Linked DNA regions of Saccharomyces cerevisiae S288C. The protein of the gene in region 1 purifies or fractionates together with the protein of each later gene. This does not show direct contact. Each region holds a gene or a part of one and is shown on either strand. Other genes may lie near its edges.

Region 1 (4,847 bases):
TTCAGGTTTTCGACGATTGGCTCATAATCCTCGACGCAACATGGGTCGTTCTTCATCATGGTAATGATTGAATCAAATAAATTGAATTCATCTAGAAAATTGTTCATAGGCATTGTTATTTAGTTATCTTCTTTTTTGATGAATCAATAATTTTATAAGGCTTAGTGTAATTGTTCTCCCGATGATAGTATGAAACGGTAGTCGATAAATTTGTGTCAAATTTTTTCCTCATCCCATCAATTCTTCATTTTTTCCCTTCCTATTTTTTTTTTTACTGAAGCGATGATGCCTTATATATAAGGAAAATAGCCTCGTCAGTCAAAGGACGACTCCCGTAATGGTAGCCTCAGTTTATATTAGGCGCTCTCATCATGATGTATATCGATATTGGCGATGATATTTTTTTTTGTTGATATTAAATACAAATGTAATGCTTTATATAGTTCTATACTTGGGGAATACATGATGTGAATGTGCATAAATAGAGGACAGTGAATATTTTTCAAGGAAGCTCTTTCTCATTTTCTTCTTCATCACTGGAATCATTTTCATTAGACAAGGGTAATTTGTTATCCTTCCCATTGAAACCAATCCATCCTTCCTCGTCGTCAGATTCCATGACTACATCGTTCTCTTCGTTCTCTTCGTTATCTTCATCTGCGTCATCTTTTAATAGAACCTCGTCATCATCAGCCGCGCCATCTTCCATGGACCCATCAGTTGATACCAAAAATCTATAGGTGTATTTGTTATCAGTAGTGGTATTGACTACTTCCTTAGCCACTCTAACAATAAATCTTTGTATCGACCTCATAGCCGTCGAGAAGAGATATTTGTGTTCATTTATGTAACCACCGCTCGCAGATAATAGAGCTTTGATCCAAATTAGGTTAAACTCAATGTGTTGGGATTCAATGGCAAAATCACCGATGAACTTCAGAATCCTCGGTAAATATATTGCAGGAATATTACTTGCAACCAAGGGGATTTCCTTAATAGGTATGGCTTCATAGACTTTATTGATCAAATATTCTTCATTTAACCTGAACGCCATTACTAATGCATTTAAAAACTGCTTTTCTCGTAGCGCCTCTACAGTAGAATGGGGGGTGACGTCCACATCCAGATCAAAGGGATCAAATAATATCGTGTCATTGGTGGAATATATCAATAAACCTTCCGTTGAAGCAGCGGCAAATGCATTCGCCGTTGGGGAGAATTGCACCGAAGTAACTCTAACCTCTGGTCTCATTTTTCTTGTGGACAGGTCGCCACCTCTTTGAGACCCTGGTAAAGAATTATCAATACGATCCTCCAAATCTGAATTTTCGCCTGCATCGTCAATCAAATCTAATGAACCTGCTTCAGTCATTTTCTTACTGTTTAAAAATTCGAGAGTACCATTCAAAGCCATGTTTCTGGACACAATGAATCTTTTTAACAAGACTTCATTTGGAACATCATATAGACAAATGGAGTTATTATTACCACCAGCCACAATAGCCATACCATCAAAACTGTAATGTATTGTAGTAAAAAATTTGGATCGTTCAGAATTTTTGGCAGTGAACCTATCTTGATTAAACCTACCAGATATTATATCCTTTCTACAGTCAATGTTGCCCACCTGCTTGGCATCTTCTATGTTGAAAATGGATATTTGACCCTTTAAGGTAGATACTGCAACTTCTTTACCATCTGGTCTCATTGATAAGGCTAAAACATCGGAATAAACTTCTATAGGTTCTACTTGTTGGCTTCTACCAAATATGGACCAGATTCTAATTGTTTTATCCCATGATGCAGAAGCTAAGACACTGTTCTCTTGACTAAATGAAAGACACGAAACAGGGCCTTCATGTCCGGACAAAGCATCTAATAATTGACCAGTTTGCACGGACCAAACATGAATGTCAAAATTGTCCAGGGACCCGGCACAAACCACTTCACCTGATGGATCCACCGCTAAACAATTGAATTGGATTCTTTCAGTACCAGTGAATGTTCTAAAATTACGATACCTGATTAAGTCCCACGCTCTCACCGTACCATCTAACGATGATGAGAACATGACCTGACCCCTTTTCGCAAACTGTACAGCAGTAACTGAAGAGGTGTGTTCTTCAAAAGTGGCCAAACAAAACCCTGATGTAATGTCCCAAACTTTGATTTTCCCATCTTCGGATGCTGTCACTACACGTGAACCATCCGGAGAGTATGCAAGACTATTTGTGGAATCGAAATGGCCCTGCTGCTTCAAGATATACGATTCCGATTGCCATTCGTAAACTAGTAATTGGCCCAGTTTGCTGGAACCAAACGCCAGCCATTCGCCGGTTTGGTTGACGCTAACGGTGTTGACTGGGTTTTGCCCCATAGAAAGCTGTTGAATCAAAGTGAAATCAGGCAAATCGTAAAGACGGAATTCCCCACTAGTAAATCCGACAGCTAAAAGCCTTGTTGCTGGATGGAAGGTGACACACTTTACTTTGGCTTGGTTTGCGTAAAAAAAATGTTTCTTTGTGATTCTCCAGCTGTATTTCGAAATATCTACTTCTTCTTGCTTGTCGTCGTCTTCACTTTCATTGTCGTCGTCATCGGATGGCCTCTTGGTAAATTCCCAGACAAAGACAGCACCGTCTTTGCTTACAGTGTAGATTTTTTCCTGATCATGACTGAAGAACGCACCCATAACGTAGTCTCTGTGCCCATTAAATGTTGTCGCCGCAAGGTTCTTTTCCTCTGAATCTACGGACCATATTTTTGCGCTTAAGTCTTTGGAAGTCGTAAGGATAAATCTGGAATCTTGTGACCACGTCAAAGACGTTATGTCTTGAAAGTGTCCCGCATGCACCCTATGGCGGACGAAGGGAGCAAACTGTCTGTCTTTATTAACATCTGGAGTCTTCCAAATCTGTAAAAACCTGCCTGAGGCTAATGCAAAGAGTCTCCCATCAGGGCTGAACTTCACAGCGGAGCATTTTTCTTTGAAGTTGAAATGGTGAAGCACGTTACGGGCTTTGAAATTGACAAGGATGGCGCGACCGTCCTCGTCAATAGAAATCAGCAATGTGCCTTGTTTGTTCAGATCAATGGCAGCAATATTTTTGCGATGCTCGTATTCAAACGTGAACGATTTGTTGTTGATTAAGTCAAACACGCTGACCCTATTCCCCACCGGTGAGAGTAGTTGCTTGCCATCATCGGAAAAGGTGATGTTACCTTGCCTGTAGACCGTACCTAAAAGGTTAGAGAACTTGAAATCGGATTTCATTGGGATGCGGTTCAATCTGCGGTCTGCTCTCCTGTCTACCTGTTGAAAACGATACTATTATTACTATTATTGATATTATACTAGTTATTGTACATACCTAGAACTATACTCGAAACTTTTTTTTTTTTCATCTTTCAGCTCATCGCAAAATTTTTCCAAAAAATTTCAAAAAGAACTCCCGTCGCATGTGATCAAGGTTACAGGTGCTTGACATAATCATAATGATTACGAGTCGAAGCCGGCCCTGACAACAGCTTCTCTTGCCGTAGAATTGATGTGTTTAAACCGGTCGGGACCTATGTGGGCACCGCCGAACCAACGGGCCACCACAACGATGACGTTCCACACATCCATGATGGTGATGAGGTGCAGCATTCTGGAGCCGGCGGCCGTTTCACCGTCATCATCGGAATCTTGATATGTTGCCGCAGAGCCATCCTGCTTGATTCGCCATGCACTCATGACATGGTTTGCCTTACGCATCTTGGAGTCGGTCTTCAGTAGGTCTAGCATGGCAAACGCTTGTTCCTCGGAGGTAACATGTGCTGCAAAGGCCATGAAAGTCGAGCCTCTATCAGTAATGGGGTCCGACGCGGTCCAGCCCTCGAAGGGGTCTGTGGGAATGTCACTCTGCTGGACCGGTTCTGTCTCCTCCTCTGGTTCAACGTACAAGACACCGTCGAGTTCTGTGAGGAAGTCAAATAGACAGACAGATCCGCGGTGGAAAACAGAGTCCATCACTTCCTGGAACAAATGCTGAAGGTACTTGGTATCGTAGAGATCGCGCTTAGCCAAAGAAGTGCAGACACCAACTTCGATGACATTAGGAGCCTCCTCGGAGGGGTAGTGTGTCGGGAAGGAGATCTGCAGTGTCATGTATTCATGCTGCGGCACTTTCACAACGATGATGCTTCCGTCTTCCTGCTTCTTGGAGAGAAGATCCGGATAGATGGCCTCGACGGCCTCCAGTTCTTCGACCAACTGTTCGTGATCGTCATCCATTGAGCTTTTCTTTCCTCTCTCTTTTTTTTTTCTTGTTACATATTCCTATATATATGTATATATATCTATATATATATATATCCCAGCGTATATGACTGCACAAGACGCAATTTTCTTGAACGGTTTTTTCTTTTCAGCACTGCGAAAGAGAGAGCAACGGTAAAGAGCATGAGCCAATTTGAAAAGCAGAAGGAACAGGGCAATTCTTTGTTCAAACAGGGCCTGTATCGCGAGGCTGTGCACTGTTATGACCAACTAATTACTGCTCAACCGCAGAACCCGGTCGGGTACAGCAACAAAGCCATGGCGCTGATCAAACTGGGTGAATATACACAGGCTATTCAAATGTGCCAGCAAGGACTGCGGTACACCTCAACGGCAGAGCATGTAGCTATCAGATCCAAATTGCAATATCGTCTAGAGCTGGCACAGGGAGCGGTAGGTTCAGTACAGATCCCTGTTGTAGAGGTTGATGAACTACCGGAGGGATACGACCGGTCCTGAGAAAAGAGAAAGGGAACACTTCTAATTTATCTTTAAAATTATATATATATATATATATATATGTGTG
Region 2 (2,727 bases), on another chromosome or scaffold:
TTTTATCTTTTATGATAAAGTTTGTGAACGCAAAATCGTCGGTTTGATTTATGCATGGATCGTTTTTCAAGAAACAGTAATGGTTCATTTCTTTAATAGCCTTCCATGACTCTTCTAAGTTGAGTTTATCATCAGGCGATTTCCTTTTGGTAGGGAGTTCGTTTTCTTTGCTGTCTAATGTCACTGATTTTCCTTGTTTCTCCAAATCACTATTTGACTTCTTTAAGGCAGACAACTTTAAACTCAATGAAACACTATGCTGGTTCGGGGTAAAGTCGCTTCTTTTTACCTTGTCTTTTGCAAGTAGCGTCTTCAGATCCTTCCTTTTTGTCTCAGCATTGTTATCTTTAGTTTCTCTATTCTTATGTAGTCTTTCTAGTAAGGATGCACTTTTCGATGTACTATGAGACTGGTCCGCACTTAAAAGGCCTTTAGATTTTTCTATTCTTTTTCTTGCTAATTGCTCTAATAACGACATGTCAGGTGGTACTGTAAGTTTCGAAGACCACCTCCTCGTACGTGTATTGTAGAAGGGTCTCTAGGTTTATACCTCCAATCTGTTATAGTACATATTATAGTACACCAATGTAAATCTGGTCCGGGTTACACAACACTTTGTCCTGTACTTTGAAAACTGGAAAAACTCCGCTAGTTGAAATTAATATCAAATGGAAAAGTCAGTATCATCATTCTTTTCTTGACAAGTCCTAAAAAGAGCGAAAACACAGGGTTGTTTGATTGTAGAAAATCACAGCGATGGCAGATTATGATAGTGCGAAATATTGGTCCAAGCAGGGAGCTCGTCGTGGGTTACAGAAAACCCGTTACTACTGCCAAATATGCCAAAGGCAATGTAAAGATGCAAACGGATTTCAATCACATAACAAATCGCCATCTCATTTAAGGAAGATTAGTCAAGTGACAGCTGAGGACGCTAGGCGCTACAATATCCAGTTTGAAAAGGGATTTCTACAGTTATTGAAGCAGCGGCACGGAGAAAAATGGATTGATGCTAACAAAGTATACAACGAGTATGTTCAAGATCGCGATCATGTACATATGAATGCCACCATGCATCGTTCTTTGACGCAGTTTGTCCGGTACCTAGGCCGCGCGGGCAAGGTAGACGTGGATATGGATATTGATGATACATCTGAGAACGTTGAAGGTCCTTTGCTTATCAGGATCCATCCCTCATCTTTATCATCACCTTCTGAAGATGGAATGCTGCGAAGTCAACAAGAGGAGCAAGAAGTCATAGCCGCCGAGCTTTTGAAAAGACAACTCAATCGTGCTAAGCGACAAACTGAAAAGGTATATCAACCAGAGATGAAATCGGAAATTAGCGGGGATAGCACTCTGAAACGTGTTCAAGTCACCTTCCACGGGAATGGTCGGGTAAATAAAAAGAAAAAGAAGGTTCCTCCACGGAAAGATGGTATCAAGTTCCGTTGATTGAAAATTTTTCTTTTCAAGCGATGAGGTTAGCGAAGTTGTTCGAACAAGCCCAAATATGTTTAGAAGGCAGTACGAATTGATACCCTGAACTGTTACTACCCGTATACACGTATTAAGTAAGACAATGAGTAATGGACACGTCAAGTTTGATGCCGATGAAAGTCAAGCCAGCGCAAGTGCTGTCACGGATAGACAAGATGATGTGCTGGTAATATCAAAAAAGGACAAGGAAGTGCATTCAAGTAGTGATGAGGAAAGTGATGATGATGATGCTCCACAAGAAGAAGGGCTTCACTCTGGGAAAAGTGAGGTAGAATCACAGATCACTCAGAGGGAGGAGGCTATAAGGCTGGAACAATCACAATTGCGGTCCAAGAGAAGGAAGCAAAATGAATTATACGCCAAGCAAAAGAAATCAGTGAATGAGACAGAGGTCACTGATGAAGTAATTGCGGAGCTTCCTGAGGAATTGCTAAAAAATATAGATCAGAAGGACGAAGGTAGTACGCAGTACTCATCTTCAAGACATGTAACTTTCGATAAATTGGATGAGTCAGATGAAAATGAAGAGGCATTGGCTAAAGCTATAAAAACTAAGAAAAGGAAGACATTAAAAAATTTAAGGAAAGATTCGGTGAAAAGAGGAAAATTTAGAGTTCAATTGTTATCCACCACACAAGATTCTAAAACATTACCACCAAAGAAAGAATCATCCATCATACGTTCAAAAGACCGTTGGCTAAATAGAAAGGCTTTGAATAAAGGGTAATATATAGCATACAACATAATAAAATAATAGTACAATCACAAAATTAATCATAATGTTCATTTATCTATAATCAAACAATGAGAATATATACTGAAGTTTGGTAGGTTATTCTTCAGAGATGCAGTACGATATCACCAACGGTATGCAGACACCTATCAAAACATAAACGGATTCATCATGAGGTAAAACGACTTCCTGTTCAACGCTGAGATCGTGATCATGAGAATCTCCACCAACAAATGCTGTGAAAGACGCATATAGTAAACTGCCACCACTCATAAGCAGAAGATTTCCACTTATCCAATCCATCGTTGGCGAATGACTCAGATTCAAAAGGGATAACACTATGTATCCGATCGGAGTCGATGACGCAAACAAGAAAACGTTACAGATCACCTCCCATTTCATTAAGTTTTGTCTCGATACCATCAAACTAGTGAGGGAAAGAACGGCAGGAATTTTATGAATAACTATAGCAATTAACACCACTATGAGCAGTG
Region 3 (7,663 bases), on another chromosome or scaffold:
AAAGAACACCCTTGAATACTGTCATGGACTCGCTGGGACATGGTGGCCAACAATATTTTAATAGTAGAATCACTGACAAAGATCTGCTAAAAAAGTGTCCGATTGATTTGACAAATGACGAGTTTATATATCTAACGAAATTATTCATGGAGTGGCCTTTCAAACCAGATATTTTAATGGATTTTGTTGATATGTATCAAACAGAGCACTCTGGTTGAAAAAAGTGCTTTTAAAATTTACTTCATTATTTAATAAATATGTGATTTTAGCGTGTGAATATAAAAAATACATAGAACTCAATCTTCGTTAACACGGAACCATCTTGTAATCAAGAAGCGAGAAGCGGAACTAAAACTTTAAGAAAAGGAGCTCTACGAACCGTCAAAGCTAAATTGATCGATAGAAATTGCTTCTTGAAACTTTACATTCTATGTACTTTACAAATATACTTTACAAACTTAGCCATTTATATTACTTTACAGTTAAAAATCCATCAGGAATTATTCGTCTGCTTTTTGAGATTCATGGCTAGCGACATACTCAGTAGCTTTAGCTTTAACGTATTCAATGGTCTTTTCGTCACCTTCAGATTCCTCAAATTGTAACCATTTATTAAAGAAAAACTTAGCCTGCTTCCTTGTTATTTTTTTGGTTATTATTCTCTCAAATAAATCTTCCACCTTCTTCTTATCTTTTGCCTTCACTTCCTGGTCTACGTAAACGTTCCACAGGTCAATTCTCTTTGGCGCATCAGCAACCAAACCTTCGAATAATGACCGACCCCTTTCTGGGTCACCCTTTGCAAATTCTAATTGAGCAAACTTGCGGACAACCTCGATATGATTACGCTTTGGTAGGGCCTTCAAAGCATTACCTAAAATAGTACGTGCCTCTTGCTCTTCATTGTGGCTGATCAAAAAATCACCCCACGATACCCAGATAGAAACTTTCTCGCCGCCAAATTTCTTAGCTGTAGCTTTGAATAATTCTGCTGCTTTGTCGAACTTTTCACTTATTTCATAAATACCAAGCAGTTTTGTATGAATAGTATATGAGTCCATATACTGACAAGCCCTGCTAAACACTTCTTCTAAAGTTTCTTCGGTACCAAAAGTATTTTCTAAATTCAGCATTGCAATCCAAATATTCAACTTCTCGGCTTCTTCTCTGAAGTTGATGGTCTTTAGCGCACGTTCTGCGAGCTCTCGAGCCTTCTCGATCTCACTCAGTTGTAGTTGGAAAGCCATATAGTTCATCCACACTACGGACGAATTTGGATTACCGATAAGTAGACGTTCAAAATCGGCAACAGATTCTGGTGCCCTAGTGTTGATATCAATGGTCTTATCCTGAACAACATTTTCCTTTCTTCTCTTGTGCTTGTGTTTCTTATTTTCAGTAAAGTCTTCTTGATCTTGGTCAGACTCTTCTTCTTCTTGCGCTTGATCCAAAATGGAAGCAGTCCAATCAAAACCAGCACTCAAGGATAGCCCATCCGAAGATGTTTCAGGCTTCCTATCGGCAACTTCGGTGTTTTGGTCTCCGATATCAGATTCGCTGTCGGAATCGTTGAAGCCAGCATCTGCCATGACTTCATCTTCATCCTCCTTTTCCAGTTGATCCACAGTAGTAGTGGTGGTGGTAGTAGAAGCCAATTCGGCTTCTTTAGAGAAATGAGACGCTTTCAAGCTCAATGAAATTTGTTTTTTTTCTGGATTTGTTTTCAAAACAATAGCTTTTACTCTGTCCCCAACACCAAACAAGGCAGAAAGATCTTCAGGTTTTTTGTCCGCAATTTCAGTAATATGTGCCAAACCAGTAACATTAACAGTGTTATCTAGTTTGACGAAAACACCAAAATCAGTGACGCTTTTAATTGTACCCTCGAAAACATCACCAGCCTTAATGTCTGAATAGGTCTTTAGAACCTTTAAATCACCATTTATTTCGGATTCTCTTAGGGTTAGAGAAATACGAGAATCTTCATCGCATGTAACGACTTTTCCCAAAACGTATTGCATAGGCTTGTAAAACTTCTTCCATTCCTTCAAGTAAGAATCAGATAGTTTACTAACAGGGACAAAGGCTTCAACTTTCCTACTCAAGTAAACAAAAATACCTTTGTCATTCACATTCTTAACAATACCATCTACAATCTCGCCTTGCTTCAAATCTTCATGAGATTTGATCGAACGAGTTTTTGCAGTAGCAGGACGAAGGGATAGTTCAATTTTCTTATTCTGTTCATCAACAGATAAAACGGTAGTTGGAATGACGTTGTTAATTTTGTCTTCAAAAGCTTCCTTCAATGTTAGGGAGAAATCATTTAACGCATCCGTAATAAAGGAAATACCAGTCACTTTGTTACCAAGGTCTAACAAAACATACTTTTCAGCTATTTTTAGAACACGACCTGGCAATTCATCACCAACTTTAATTGTGGACATATTTATGTCAACATGACTCTTTCCAATGGCATTGACAAAGCCATGCTCGCGGTCAATAGAGGCAACTTTCACTTGGAGGGCTGAACCTAATGGGAAAACAGATTCAATATTTTCTGAAAAATTTGAATCGTTATCAGCTAAATCTAGTAGAGAAATTCTCGCCTTCAAAACTGGAGAAATTGTTAGCCATAGGTGGTTACCTGATGAATTGTTGACAAAGCCAGTTAACTCTTGCCCAATGTTGATTTCCTCAAGACTTTTTGTGTGCACTTCCTTAGATTTTAATTCTGATGGTTTCATGGATAATTCCAAAACGCTAGCCTTTGAGATTTTGTGTGTAATCGGCAAGAACTTATGGCTCTTGACATCGTGATTACCTATGATTTTTACCTTGATGACATCGTCTTTTTTGTAATTACTCAACGGCTGTTTCTTATCTGTAATTTCTTCATACGTGTCAAACACTTCAGCAATGTCCACTCTGCCATGCAAATTTGCCGCTAAAATAACATTCAATTGATTTTTCTTGACGCTCTTGATTTTTGCTTTAACAATACTACCAATAGACAAATCGTCCCAGCTTTTGATAGACGAATCAACAGGATCTTCGATATTAGATTCAACTTTCTTCTTCTCTTCTTTGACCTTTGGAGCTTTTAGAGATAATAGGAATTTCTGGTTTTTGTCGTCTGTTCTTAATAAATAGACGGTAACGGATTGGTTAATATAAAACGCCTTGCTGATATCAATATCCCTACTATCAACAGCGTAACTTGGTAAAACCAACCCAATGAACTTACCGTTAAATGCAACAAAGAGACCCTTATCAGAAATGGATTTAATGTAAGCGTGCATTGGTACATCTTTATTTAGATCCTTAACATCATCATATGTTAATGGAAGAGTCTCCTTTTTAGCGTCTTTAATCAGAGAACTTTTGAGGGACATATTGAAAACGCGGGTTCTTGTATCTTTATCAATTACCAAACCAGTCAGTTCAGTGCCGATTCTGAGCTTTTTCAACTGAGCCCTATTTTGTTCAATTCTGGAATCAGAGAGATGACCAACGTAGATGACACCACGCAAGCCAACATCAGGAATTTCAACAATAACAGAATCTTTGGTTTTTTCGATAACATGGACAGTAATGATTGTTCTGCCTGGAACAATATTTTCAATGGTATCTTTTTGTTGGGCAGCCTGTTCATTTGAAACTTTGCATGTGGCAATAATTCTCCTCCTGTCAGCATCGACGTCAAGAAGTTTTACTATTACTGTTTGACCGAGTCTTAAATGTTCTTCTGGTCTCTTCACAAAGACTTCTGAGATCTCAGAATTAGGTAAAAATCCCGATAAACCACCAAAAAAGGAAATGATGCAACCATTTGGTTTGAAAACTTGAATAGTTGCTAAAGTCTTTTCATTTTTTTCTTTGATATTTTTGGCGTTTTCATAAGTGGAAACCAGTGGTAATTCGTTGTCTTCAATATTAACTAATGATTTTTTCAAAGTGACATGCACATTACCTCTTGAATTAACTGATATAACTCTACCTTTAACCTTAGAACCTATCTTGAACTTCCTTTCTGGATAAACTAGCCTGGTATCTGAAATGTGTAATGGTGGAACAGAAGCCTTAAATTGCCCGTTAAATATCTTCAATTCAATACCTGAACTAGAGACGGAAGTTATTTCACAACTTGGTAATAATTCTCCGATTGGAATATCATTTGTTCTTAGATACTTTAATTTTAGGTATTTTGGATCAGTGGACAATTGATAAATGTCATCAACAGGGCTATAACCAAGGACCCTGGAACTTAAATTTTCTGAATTTTCAATTTCACCAACTCTTGAAGAATGTACTTTACCTAATCTATCATCATCCAATGCTAAGTATAGATATTCGGAATCACGCCCTTTAATGCTGCATGATTCAAATGTGTAGCCGATAGGGAATGCATCAAGACCTTCAGTAGATCTCAAAGCGTCTTCTAGTTTTAAAATGTGTGGAAGGTTTGACAAAATCAAGACCTTGTCACCGCTTTTGTTTTCTAAACAAGCAATAATTCGGCATCTAATACTAGAACCAATAACAAATTTATGCTTTAAATCTTCTTCGGAAAATGTTCTTAAATGTGATACGTTGACAACACCGGATACTAACCCAAAAACTTTACCGGCAATACCATTTTTAGTGATTGATTCACACAATAAGTCGACGATTTGACCAGGGATAATGGCATCAATTGAGGAGATTTGAGTAATTTTGTTTTTCTTGTCCGAAAAGTCTGTATTTACAACAATTGATCTGTCGGATTTTTTGGTGATATTACCTAAGAAAACAGCCCCCGGCAATAATTTTTCAAAATTGCCAAAATCCTTCTTAGCAATGAACCCTGTAAAGCCTGGCAGACCAACATCTAAGGTAGCACCGTGATCCTCGATGGATTTGACCGCGCATTGAATAGACGTGGATTTAACCAAATCTTCATCTGCGTATATGTTGACGGATGAAGGTTCGATGGTTAACTCTATTCTCTTCTTTTTGGATTTCTTAGTTGATGGTTCTAAAGAGGTATTCTTGATGACAGAGCATCTTAGCCATTGACCAATGTGAAAGTACCTTCTTAAATTAGGTAATTCATTAGATTTATCTAATTTTTCATCTTCGTCGTCGGACGATTCGTATTCTGCATCTTCAACTTTGGATTTTTTCTCATCAGCAGCATCAGTATCACTATCCATATCTTCATCCAGATCTTCCAAAATCGAAGTAAATTCTTCTGAGATATGTGTTAGGTTCACATAACCAGAAATTCCGTCTGTGAATGTTATACATAAATCTTGTTTAGTGATAGCAGAAATCTGACCAAGCAAAGAAGAGCCATTCTTCAACGTTTTAAAGTTGACATGTTCAATTAGTCCAGCTCTAGCTTCATCAGAGTTTGCTGATGAGGCCTCGGAATCTTTAGAAGTGGATTTCTTTGTTGTCTTCTTCTTTTTCAAGGGTCTACTTGCTGGTTCAGATGCTTTGACACTTTCATTACCAAATAACACATCACTTGCAGCTTCGTTAGCAACTTGTTTCAGTTCTAAAGGAGTCAAAGCAGACGCACCACCCCTTGGAAAAGAGACTTCCTCAGTGTTCCTTACTAATGATGAGGTAGAGGGCTGCTTTGTGGAGTCTTCCCTCGAAAGTGGAAAATCTTCATCTCTCTTTCTTTTGGTGGAAGCTACCATTTTTGCAACAGTACAGGTGTGTTTTTTATATTAAACGGTCCTTGATTCAGACTGTAGTAGTAGATACTAATAGCTTTAAATAAAAATGAATAGACGAACCTTACTGAGCTTTCTTCAGTTGCTGCTAATGTATAGAAGGGTTTAGCTCATCTCATCTTAAAATTTTTCAAAATTTTTCGGAATCAGAAACGACTTAGATCACTTTGCACGCGGGCATTGAATGACTGGCCAATGTAGTGACAATAAACTCTCTAATGGTGAAATATGTACCGCGGCAACAAGTAAGTTTACGTCTACTAATAATTTGTTGAATAAAGTAAGCCCAGAAACAAGCATCCATCTGGCCAGAATAATGTTTTCCTATATGTACTTACCAATTATGTAGTTGAAAAATCATACACAAATAATAGCACTATAAATAACGAGCAGGATATTTATAAAAGAGTTTAACAACAGAGTTCAGGATTGAATATTCTCAGTAACTGCGTAATACATATTGTTGGGATTTACGTTTTTTGCCTTAAACCCTGTTTAATATCTGTTTAGCAAAATGAAAAGCATATGGAAACCTCTTACGCACTGGAATTGATATGTTTTCTATTAATTAGGATAAACCGCTGAACAAGAACCTTTTTCATGGCATATCAAACTTTTTAACATTGGAAAATTAGAGAATAAGCTCAAGAGAGAGATGTACTGAAGTAGTTTTTTACCGCCGGATGAAGTGTTTCGCCTGCTGTTTGTTTCGACCCTGTGTATATGACCATTTAGGTAAAGCCACTTAATAGCCATCAAATATTGATCGAGTTCATATAAAGCTAAAGAGTAGGAAATATACCATCAATGGTGAGCACTTATTTTTTTTTGGATTTAGATGTGAGACATACTAAAAAAAAGTTGCTATCAAGCCTATAATTTGGCTACGTTGTCTTCCGGTGTTTTTCAATTGATTTAAGTTACAACACTCAAATCTGGGTAATTTGATCTTTTTTAATAATTATTTTAGTGACATATAGTTCTTAGAGTTCGCAGATTTATTTTGTCATTTTTTGGATCGGCGTCTTATAAAATCAAGACATAATACATCCGCACATCGCGCATGTGTGGGTGTATATGCCCTTTTCACGATTTTTAAGTTGCGTCTCAAAATAGTTTCCGAGTTGGAAGCCTGAGTTTTTCAAAACAATATAGGAATTAAAGGTATACGTCTTTGGATACATGTTATTTGAAATGGGGTAGAACTAGCACAACTGAAACCAAGAAAACACAGATCATAACTAACCGTTCAAGATGTTGATGCCAAAGCAAGAAAGAAACAAAATTCACCAATACTTGTTTCAAGGTATGTTTGCATTTTTTAGGTGAAATATGCAGTGATATGCTCCGAAATGGATAGCAAAGATGATAAATGAAAATACAATTAAATTGAACTTGAATATCATTAAAAGTGGTAGAAAACCGATTGTTTCAAAAAGATCTTTGTGGACAAGTACGGCAGTGCATGAATCCGAAAGAAAAGTGCAACCTAAGCAGAATTCCATTATTTCACGCGTCCATTTTTATAATGTTTGAACTTTTGAGTCCTTATAGAAATGCTAATATTATGATCAAAGCGATTATATCATTTACTTTACAGTTTCCGGAGTTTCCGTATTATTGCAAAAGGACCACAAACAATTGAAATCATGATATCGTAAGAAATATTATTACTAACAAGGAAGATCATTGAATTACGATCGCATATCGAAATAGAAGGTGTTGTCGTCGCTAAGAAGGATTTCAACCAAGCTAAGCACGAAGAAATTGATACCAAGAACTTGTATGTTATCAAGGCTTTGCAATCCTTGACTTCTAAGGGTTACGTTAAGACTCAATTCTCATGGCAATACTACTATTACACTTTGACTGAAGAAGGTGTTGAATACTTGAGAGAATACTTGAACTTGCCTGAACACATTGTCCCAGGTACCTAC

What was found.
Region 2: the proteins of PWP2 (region 1) and BUD21 purify together in Saccharomyces cerevisiae (affinity purification with mass spectrometry, with the first as the bait; 5 studies listed by BioGRID). This does not show direct contact.
Region 3: the proteins of PWP2 (region 1) and RRP5 purify together in Saccharomyces cerevisiae (affinity purification with mass spectrometry, with the first as the bait; 6 studies listed by BioGRID). This does not show direct contact.

What each region holds. Positions count from the first base shown.
Region 1 is NC_001135.5:219,955-224,801, forward strand, and holds PWP2 (snoRNA-binding rRNA-processing protein PWP2), read right to left. Parts: upstream 3,275-4,847; coding exon 503-3,274; downstream 1-502. Other genes in the region: CTR86 (Ctr86p), read right to left, coding at 1-113; YIH1 (Yih1p), read right to left, coding at 3,500-4,276; TAH1 (Tah1p), read left to right, coding at 4,445-4,780. UniProt on the Saccharomyces cerevisiae protein: Required for bud-site selection and cell separation. Also involved in nucleolar processing of pre-18S ribosomal RNA.
Region 2 is NC_001147.6:471,143-473,869, forward strand, and holds BUD21 (Bud21p), read left to right. Parts: upstream 1-1,582; coding exon 1,583-2,227; downstream 2,228-2,727. Other genes in the region: SKI7 (Ski7p), read right to left, coding at 1-478; RTS2 (Rts2p), read left to right, coding at 757-1,455; Mn(2+) transporter ATX2, read right to left, coding at 2,333-2,727. UniProt on the Saccharomyces cerevisiae protein: Functions as part of the small subunit (SSU) processome, first precursor of the small eukaryotic ribosomal subunit that coordinates the first two steps of ribosome biogenesis in transcription of the primary transcript pre-RNA and pre-18S processing.
Region 3 is NC_001145.3:725,434-733,096, forward strand, and holds RRP5 (Rrp5p), read right to left. Parts: upstream 5,691-7,663; coding exon 501-5,690; downstream 1-500. Other genes in the region: MTF1 (RNA polymerase specificity factor), read left to right, coding at 1-218; 40S ribosomal protein eS10 RPS10B, read left to right, coding at 6,981-7,032, 7,443-7,663.